2 linked regions of the Drosophila melanogaster genome follow. The protein of the gene in region 1 purifies or fractionates together with the protein of each later gene. This does not show direct contact. Each region holds a gene or a part of one and is shown in the gene's direction. Other genes may lie near its edges. The genes, in order: Fs(2)Ket and mud.

Region 1 (4,812 bases):
AATTATTAAAGTTTGGTAAAAATTCCAAAAGTTTGCAAATGCGTTCGATAATTTGACCCCGTAATTTGCTTTTACTTTGGGTTCTTAGAAATTTATCTTATCAAAAAGCTCTCTTAGATTGTTAGAAACAATTGAATGTGAAACACCTTAATTAATTCTTATCATTGGGCAACGTCTAATTTAAGGGCGTATAAACCGATTAGGATTTCTTGACCTACGGGTATATTAAAAAGTTGTTTAGATTTGTTTAAAGATAAGATGAAGCAAACAAAACCAATAGCTCACGCTTTATCATCCAATAGTTAGGTCATCTTTTAAAAGGGCTAACCCCATCTATTTGGGATATCAAACTAAAAATTATACTTTGTCCTGAATTTATATTGTTATTGTGTTATACTATTATTACTAAAAAGAAAATAACCCAAACATAATGCAAGGAAGCATGACAAGCTAACCGCGTTCCCTGGTTCAATTATTGGTTAGCCGCCACTATGTTAAGATTCTTAAGGTCGGGAGCCCCCGAAATCGCATTCGCGAGCCAGCTGAACCAACATTAGAACTCCCATCTAGCTGTCGCTAGGAAAGAGAGCTGGCGTAGGCAACGTCAGCAGAAGTTGAGATAGAGGGCCACATATGGACCCCACATATAACTAGTTACTGCGCTTATCAGTGCTTCCGCCTGTGACCACCATTAGAGGAATATAGAACCAATGTACATAACTAGTTCCAGTGCCTTTGCTAATTGTGGCGGGCGTGGGGCAAACACACCCACTATCTACGTACATATGTACATCTGCACTTCTGCACATACGTATACACCTACCTTGCATGTGGATGAGACGTCGGTTTTCTTGCAGAAATTGACCGGTGCCAGTCCGGGCAGATAGAAGGCCTGTGTCGGGGTCGCAAGGTGCAAGAGAACGACGCCCAGGAGCGGCAGAAGTCCGGATAGCAGGATCATCTCGAATTGGGGTAACCAACGAACGGCAGGAGTAGCAGACCTTCTTCCTTTACTTGTACGGGTTGTAATCACAACGTGGCCGTGTCCGCGATTCTCTGCCACACTTTCCGGATCGGCGGGCCACGCACAAACCGTACTATCTGGATATTTATCGGAATATACGGAGTTTTTCGAGTGTTTTTACTACGTTTCCTCTTTTTTGCCGAACGTCAGCACTGTAGCAGCGTTGCCACCTAGTACAGCTGAGAGGGCTGCCAACTGGCTGACAAAAAAACTACCAGCATTTGCAAAGCTAAATATTACCGCGAAAACCTTTAGCTCTTATTATTATTACGTGCAAAACGAAATTTGGTAGACTTAATAAACTTTTATATTTAAATTAATTAATTCCCCTGTTCAGTAAGCGAATGCAACCAATATACACACGTATACGTGTGATACTTCTAAGATATTACTATTTTTATCCACTGTTTCTTAATATAGTAATCAAATTTTGTTCATTTGTTAGTTTTTTACCTACGACTCTTAAGTCAAAGTATTCGATTATTTAGTTCGTTCGAGGTTTTGCTTCCGTGCTTATCTTTGAATATGAAAATTTTCGATAAGCACAATCATTCAAATTTAACGATTGATTTTTGGGGAGGCAAACGCGTTTTAATACAAGTAGTAAGTATTTTGGTCTTATCGTTCCTGACTAATAATATATTTTGTCAAATGGTTGCACATTTCCTACGCATTTAAGAATATTTAATTAATACGTTATTAGATTTAAAAATTATCGATAGTTCGAATAAAGCAATCGAATAGGTGTCGCCTTTTTCATCGAAACTCAGTGCTATCAAATAAAAATCGACATTCGTTTCAGCTCTATTTCAAATCGGAGACACAAGAAATATATTGCCTGCACTTCCCGAAGAGCAGATAAAGGTTCTGCCACCATTAAATAGGCTTATAATAATAACTAAGAAAATCGCCGTTAGGAATCCCGCGCTTTTTTACCGTTCCCGAAAAATAACCAAACAACAATGTGAGTAGAATGAAGAGTTCTACTGAACGCGCTTGTTGTGTGCGTGTGTGCGAAAAAATCAATTCTTTTGACAATCAAGGTGTTGCAACCTGTCGAAATAAAATCGCCAGCTTCAGCGGAGCAGCCCAATAACTTTAACTCTTTTGTCTCCACCATTTGCAGCCGACAGACTAGTGTTGTCTAGTAATTACGCAAAAATTCCATCACCCACACAGACGCACGAGCTGCAGAAAGAAACGGAAAGTGAAGTAGAAATCATATAGAGAGGAAAAGAGCGAAGACATGACTTCCGATATCGCCATGCAATTGATTGCCATTTTGGAAAAGACGGTGTCGCCAGGTGAGTTTCCCCACTGCTACAAACGTGTGTGTATAGATCCGAAAAATATGGATTTTTCTTCGATTGGCGGGAGGGACGCGCGTTATATGTTGCGCAGGGTTGCAATAGGCGCTCGCATATGTTTGGTTGCTAGGGGCCTCCGCACACATGTGCATCCACGTACATACTCCAAGGGAAACTTGGCGGCGCGTCTGTATGTATTCGCAATGCTTGCGCTCCTACAATTAAGGATGTACGAACCGCCTGCGACATAACCTCACTAACTCTAGGAATCGATGAGGCGTCGCTTCGGAGTCACCACCGTATGCTTGGCGGCCAGTTCTTCCGGTTGCTGATAAGGAATGCCTGCAAACTTGCCCCTTGCCTGAAGATTTTATGCTCCACCGCTACAATTCATTACTAGACCTTACTGCTTAGCTCTTCATATGCACACACTTCTTTCACCATCTATTGTATTCTTATTAAACAATATTCTCACTATATACGCCTTGCCTAAAAGTTCCTATCTTGCCTTCACATTCCCAAAAGTCAATTGTTGTAAAATTCAATGGCCTGATACCAAAGCTTTAAGCCGACCCAAAATGGTGGGCGTGTGTAGGCCCACAAATAAAATCTTTCGTTGACATAATTGGAAATTAAAAATGTCTAACCAACCAAATGACGCATTTTCAGACAAAAATGAGCTGCTATCGGCGAAGAACTTTCTGGAGCAGGCGGCGGCCAGCAACCTGCCCGAGTTTCTCAAGGCGCTGTCAGAGATACTGGTGAACACGGCCAACAGTGCGGTGGCGCGAATGGCAGCCGGTCTCCAGCTGAAGAACCACCTGACCAGCAAGGACGAGAAGGTCAGCCAACAGTACCAGGATCGCTGGCATCAGTTTCCCAGCGAGATCCGCGAGTTGATCAAGAATAACGTAAGTTACATACGCTGATGTTGAAACATATGACTTGTACAATTGGCACTGAATAACTGCGACTTACTTTCAGATCCTGGCTGCTTTGGGTACCGAGAACACCCGACCCTCCTGCGCCGCCCAGTGCGTGGCCTATGTGGCCGTGATTGAGCTGCCGATAAACCGCTGGCCCATGCTCATCCAGACACTGGTGAACAAGGTGGTCAGCGAAGGATCCAGCGAGATGCATCGCGAGTCGGCGCTGGAGGCCATTGGCTACATTTGCCAGGACATTCGTTTCGGCGTCATGGAGAACCAGTCGAACGATGTGCTGACTGCTATTATTCACGGCATGAGAAAGGTAGAGCCGAGCAATCATGTACGCTTGGCGGCCACCACGGCCCTTCACAACTCGTTGGAGTTCACCAAATCGAACTTTGAGAAAGACATGGAGCGCAACTTCATCATGGAGGTGGTGTGCGAGGCCACTCAGTGCCAGGACTCGCAAATCTGCGTTGCCGCTCTGCAGTGCCTGGTGAAGATTATGACCCTTTATTACCAGTACATGGAGCCCTACATGGCACAGGCTCTTTTCCCTATTACTTTGGCGGCCATGAAGTCTGATAACGATGCTGTAGCGCTGCAGGGCATAGAGTTCTGGTCGAACGTCTGCGATGAGGAGATAGATCTGGCCATCGAAAGCCAGGAGGCCACTGATCAGGGCCGCGCTCCGCAGAGAGTGTCCAAGCACTATGCTCGAGGTGCTCTGCAGTTCCTGACGCCTGTGCTCGTCGAGAAATTAACCAAGCAGGACGAGTGCGATGACGAGGACACCTGGAGCCCGGCGAAGGCCGCCTCCGTTTGCCTCATGGTGCTGGCCACATGTTGCGAGGACGAGATCGTGCCACATGTGCTTCCCTTCATCAAGGAGAACATCGAGTCACCTAATTGGCGATTCCGCGACGCAGCGGTAATGACTTTCGGCTCCGTGCTGAATGGATTGGAGACCAATACCTTAAAGCCGCTCGTGGAGCAAGCCATGCCCACGCTCATTCGACTGATGTACGACTCCAGCGTTATCGTGCGCGATACCATCGCCTGGACCTTCGGACGTATTTGCGATGTGCGTAGTGGTGATTTTTAAGGTGATTCATATTGTCATACTAACCTTCTACTGCTTTTTCCTGACAGATAATTCCCGAGGCGGCTATCAACGAGACATATCTTCAAACGCTTTTGGAGTGCTTCGTGAAGAGCCTAAAGTCAGAGCCGCGTGTAGCAGCCAACGTGTGTTGGGCCTTCATTGGACTTTCCGATGCAGCTTGGGAGGCAGCGGTCACCAACGACGGAGAGACTCCGGAGACGTACGCCCTGTCCCCGTACTTTGAGTACATCATTACCCAGTTGCTGGAGACCACTGATCGATCGGACGGAGCTCAAGCCAATTTGCGATGTGCTGCTTATCAGGCACTTATGGATATGATCAAGAACTCTCCCTTGGATTGCTACTTGGTGGTCCAGCGCACCACGCTGGTGATTTTGGAGCGCTTGAACCAGGTGATGCAGATGGAAACGCAGATTAACAATCACA
Region 2 (5,309 bases), on another chromosome or scaffold:
TCCGGAAGTCGGAGAACTCGCTGGCTGGCGTCCTGGTACCGGCGGGCATCATGCTCTCTTACGGCGCCTGGGTGGTCGTCCTGGCCAAGAGGGACAAGCACAGGCGTGCCATGTTTGTAGGACACACCAAATACGAGGAAAGCCAATGAATGATGCTCAGCGATGCTCTTTCATTTTCCAGGAGCGGCACATCGAGGAGGTGACGCTAAAGAACAAAATCGAGCTGGAGGAGAAGCATGCGCGCCACGCGAAGAAGGCGCAATCGCATCATGGTCACTCCGGCACCGATTCCACGGGCAGTGCCTCCAGTTCGCTGCACTACGTCAACGAGCTGCTGCCCAACGGTGGCGGTGAGCACCGCAAGAAGCAGCGACGCCATCGTCACAAGGAGCGCTCCGTGGAGCGAGATGATCATCATCAACGTAGCCATCAGCGCTCGCATACGCCGGACATTGGCGTGCATCGTGGAGCGCCCAAGAGGCCCAGTTTCCGGCAGAAGCTCTTCGGTCAGACCATCGCCCATGTCAAACTGGTGGAGGCGCAGAGCGATAGCACGGATTCAGCTGGCGCATCTGGTCCGGGTACGAGATCAGGTCGCAGTACGGTCGCCAGTCCAGGTGGCCAGGCCAGTGCTGCGGCCAAGCTCAATCCCGGCGAGAAACGACAGCGACTACAGCGCCTGGACACGTTGCCACTGGCGCAGGTGGTGCGTGTCAGCTCGATTCCGTGAGATATAACCATCTGGATGGATGTACATATGCATGTGGAAGTGGAGTAGTTCTTTCTTTTTTTTTTTTTTTTGGGGGGGGGGGGGCGGAGGCCCGACCTCGCCATTGTGTCGACTAAATAAATGTATTATAAAAAATATAAACAGGAAATTCGCCTTTATAAATAGACGGCAATCAAAAGGAAGGAAATGTTCCGATCTTCGTAACGAAATCAATGCTAAATACGTGAGAATTGTATTGTGCACATAGTTCAGCCCATCTGGCTTTTGAATATTTTCAAAATCGTGTGTTTACAACTTGATTTAAGTGAGTTGTAAAACTAATAGTTATGGAATAGTTTAGTTCGAGATTTTTTGGCGAGGTGTTTTCAAGTTGAAATTCAAGTATTGTAATTATTGATTTTCGATCAAGCTGATGGCTTTCTTTTTGTAACGCTTAATTTAGACAATAGTTTTTGAACCGCTTGTCGTTTTCGCACCACCATATTGTTTATTCTGCCTACTTCCTTACGTTAAAATGTTTGGTTTTTTCTCTGATTTTTTTTTTTTGCTTTACATGTACATCAGCGGTGCATTTCCATTGTTTGTCCGAATTAATGGTGGCGTTATTTTTAACGATCAGCACTATAACTAGATTTTCGGCTACCCTGTGCTCGTGTGCGTGCCCAGAAACGAGGATGGGTGGGTGGCAATTCCGGGCACATTGTTTTCGGTCATTGATTATTGTTATTACAATTTAATAGTTTACATGTGGTGGGCCACACTCGGTCGCTATTGGCCATCGGATTTTGGAATTCCCCGCCAAAATAGAAGCCACTTGGTTGCTTGTTTACTTGGCAGGAAATTCGCATTGTAGACCAGTGCCGCCATCTATGTGTGAGATTGGGGTAAACACAAAAGGCGGTTTCAATTATGGAATTTGCTTAGTTTTTCAGCATAGCGGGATTCAACTAGTTTTTCCATACTTGGAAAATTACATTAGATAATATATATTAATTACATATTAATATATTAATTGATAATTTCAATTGAAAATATCACTATATACTTTGGATACTTTGGTATTAAAGCAACAGGTTATTGCAGTTGGAGCCGTTCCACTAAGGCAGGAAAGCAGTTCGTAACAAAGTAGATTGAATTATTTATCAAATTTCATGTGAAACATTTGTTTCTTGAATTATGCAATATGCCATGGTGGAAACACAAGCCACTTCTTTCGCACAGATATCGATAGCAGAAACGCATCTAGTGGACGCGGCCTGGCTTGCAGCTGGAAAGTATCGATCGCCCGATAACAATACCCGAGCGCACCTCGCATGGCGTCGCGCTGCGGCATTTGAATTAAACGACGCGCCGCCGAAACGAGAAGTTGTTGCATTTTTTCGTATCTAGTTACCTATGTTTTCGTTTGTGGAACTGTCAAAATTGTTTGTTGCCCTGCGGACTTCAGTTTAGTCATTAAATTTTCATTGCTCGTTCGGAGCAGTTGTGCTTCTGGTTGGAAAATACAAAAAAAAAAACAAATATTCGGTTTTCGTGAGCATTTGTGCTAAATATATTTTTTGTTTAATTGCGTTTTCGATCGAAACCCGTTTGTTTCGCGTACATTGTTTTGTGTGCTGTGCCGTGTTCTGGAAAACATCCGTTACTGGATGCCAACAATGATAGTGTGATTAGTCTACGCAGACATTGAGCATACATATACGGGCGCACACACACCCATAAAAACGCACAAAAATTCGCAATGGACACGCGCAGCTGGCGCAAGGTCCTACTCCAGTGGGTATGTAAATCTCGCATTGCGCATCACGCACTGGGAATCATTTAGATTAACCCAATTCTGCGGCAGATTGGCGAGTGCCACTTCATCGAATCGAACTACATTACCTTGGAGCAGTCGGATCTGGACTCCTTCTTTTCGGTCTTCATTCAAAAGATCCAGGAGACGGAAAATGTTAAGGGGAAGAATGAGCTGCAGGATCAGCCCACAGAACAAAGCCCCCTTGTGCAGGAATTCCTAGCACGTAAGTTTTTTTTTACCTATTTTCCTAGTTTCTCATAGGGTATAGGGAAACATTAATAAATAGTGAAGCCTTAGTATGAGAATTTAGCGCACTTCCAACTTCATGAACCCACTAACTTGTAAATTTTCCCATGCAGATAACTATCCCGAGTTCATTGCACAACAGGATGACAAGGAAGTCGATCTGCCTTTGGATTGCCTTTACGTTTACACGCTCCTGTTGCATTACTCGTGCGTTAAGAAGCCCAGCTTGTTCTTTCACAACATCTGCAATAAACTGCCGGAGCTGACACAGACATGCATCGCATCCTTCTTTCGAGAGACCGTGGACAGGCTGTTGACGCGCGAATATCTTAGCCAGGCGATCGCCAACGTTGCAGTTGTTTACCGACAAGGGGTTTCGACCTCAGTCAGCCCATGTCTTCCCAGCAGCAGCCTGAGTCCCGATCCGAGGAGCGATGATGCACCATGCCCATCCACGCCCTCATCGTCATCGTCACAGCCGTCGAGCAGCACGCCACAGTTGCGCAATCATCGCGAACAACTTCGCCTGAATGGCTGCGAAATGCCACCTCCTTCGACCCCGAAAACGGAGCTACTGGAGCAACGCACCAAGGAGCTGCGCGGTATTCGTACCCAGCTGGAGGTGGTGCGCTACGAAAAGGCCTTGCTGGAGGAGCAGCAAATGGAGAAGGACGAGCTCATTAAAGTTCTCAACAAAGGTTAGAATGCTTCGAATGCATTACTTTCATAATTTTTTTACAAGTAATTTCATAATCGTTTGCATTTCAGAGAAAATGATGGCCAAGATGGAACTAGAAAAACTAAGAAACGTGAAGCTAACCGAAGAGCACCACGATAACGAGAGCCACCACATTATGCCATATGAGTTTGAGCATGTAGGTAGACTAGCGCAGATGGTCACAGGTAGCGAGCGGGAGCTATAAACTAATAAAACTTTTAATCCTCATTTCAGATGAAGGGATGCCTTTTAAAGGAAATCGGTCTAAAGGAGAGTCTCATCGCTGAGATTACCGATAAGCTGCATGATTTGCGTGTCGAAAATTCCGAGCTGTCCGAGAAGGTAAGCTACCTGTTCAATTTTATAGGGACTATACTATAAAGAAAATTCCACCGGGTCTTGTGCGAATGTTAGCGAAAAACTAGCAACTGTATAGATTATATTCGTTTACATTCAATTCATAATGAAATCTAATATATGTTATATCTTGCATTCATTAAATAGCTGAATCTGGCAGGAAAACGATTGCTGGAGTATACGGACCGCATTCGATTCCTTGAAAGTCGTGTAGACGACTTGACTCGTATCGTATCGTCCAGGGACGTTATGATCTCCTCTCTGGAGTCCGATAAACAGGAATTGGATAAGTGCCTTAAAGAAGCCCGCGACGACTTGCACAACCGAATCGAGGTCTTAAACGCATCCTCGGATTTACTCGACTGTTCGCTGTCGCCGAACACCACGCCCGAGAATTTGGCCAGTTCCGTGATTGACAAACAGTTGCGCGAGAAGGAGCATGAGAATGCCGAGCTAAAGGAGAAGCTGCTGAATCTGAACAATTCCCAGCGGGAGCTATGTCAGGCCCTTTCAAGTTTCCTTCAGAAGCACAATATCGATCACGAGTTTCCGGTAGAATGGACATCGTCGTCCCTGTTGTCCACCATTTCTGCGATCGAAAGTAAATTTGTTAACACGTTGGAGAAGAGTACGCAAATGAAGAAGGAATGCGACGTTCAGTCTGTGTGCGTCGAAAAACTACTGGAGAAATGCAAGCTGTTATCTGTATCGCTGGGATGCCAGCCAAAAGAGCTAGATGGATTCGAGGCCACAATACCGGAGGCAATGGAGTCGGGTTTCGAATCGAGCCGTGAGTGTGAAACCATTTTGAGTTGTTGTCATATGAAGGTAGTCGATATAGCATCGAAAAACAACGACCTGGAGTTAGACAACGAAAGGCTTAATGATAAATGCGCTGAGCTTAAATCAATAATTGATCGCGGGGATCAACATTTGGCCGATATCAATCTGCAGCTAATCGAGAAGGAAAAGCAGATAAAAGATGTGGGCGCTGAAATTCAGGAGCTGCGCAAAAGGAATATAAACCTTGAAAATATGCTCAGCCAAATTGCAGATAAAGAGGCCAGTGCGGCAAGCCATGCACAGCATTTGAAGCAGTGCGGTGAGCTTTTAAGAGCCAAGTATGAAGTGTGTCGAAATGAACTAATTGCTAAGAACGCGGCCCAAGATGAGTTGGTCCGGATGATGATGGTGCCAGATGGGGAGACCTTAAATGGGCGCGTACGCCAACTGATCGATCTGGAGATGATGCATGATGAACATAACAAGATGTATGCACAGATGCTGAAGCAATTAAATGAACTCAGCGCTAAACATGACAACATGACGCATTCCCATCTAGACTTTGTAAAGAGAACGGAGATCGAATTGGAAACGAAGAATGCACAGATCATGGCATTCGATGAGCATAACAATCATTTTGATCGTTTTCTGACCCGCATCTTTACACTCTTAAGAAG

Evidence for each region.
Region 2: the proteins of Fs(2)Ket (region 1) and mud purify together in Drosophila melanogaster (affinity purification with western blotting, with the first as the bait; one study listed by BioGRID). This does not show direct contact.

What each region holds. Positions count from the first base shown.
Region 1 is NT_033779.5:20,733,103-20,737,914, forward strand, and holds the start of Fs(2)Ket (female sterile (2) ketel), read left to right. Parts: upstream 1-1,808; 5' UTR 1,809-1,988; exon of another isoform or gene 1,989-2,067; intron 2,068-2,150; 5' UTR 2,151-2,270; coding exon 2,271-2,328; intron 2,329-3,000; coding exon 3,001-3,242; intron 3,243-3,315; coding exon 3,316-4,344; intron 4,345-4,412; coding exon 4,413-4,812. Other genes in the region: TM9SF2 (transmembrane 9 superfamily protein member 2), read right to left, coding at 824-961.
Region 2 is NC_004354.4:14,245,649-14,250,957, forward strand, and holds the start of mud (mushroom body defect), read left to right. Parts: upstream 1-2,083; 5' UTR 2,084-2,471; coding exon 2,472-2,510; exon of another isoform or gene 2,511-2,576; coding exon 2,577-2,751; exon of another isoform or gene 2,752-2,887; coding exon 2,888-3,472; exon of another isoform or gene 3,473-3,542; coding exon 3,543-3,649; exon of another isoform or gene 3,650-3,726; coding exon 3,727-3,834; exon of another isoform or gene 3,835-3,996; coding exon 3,997-5,309. Other genes in the region: CG32599 (uncharacterized protein), read left to right, coding at 1-116, 182-730.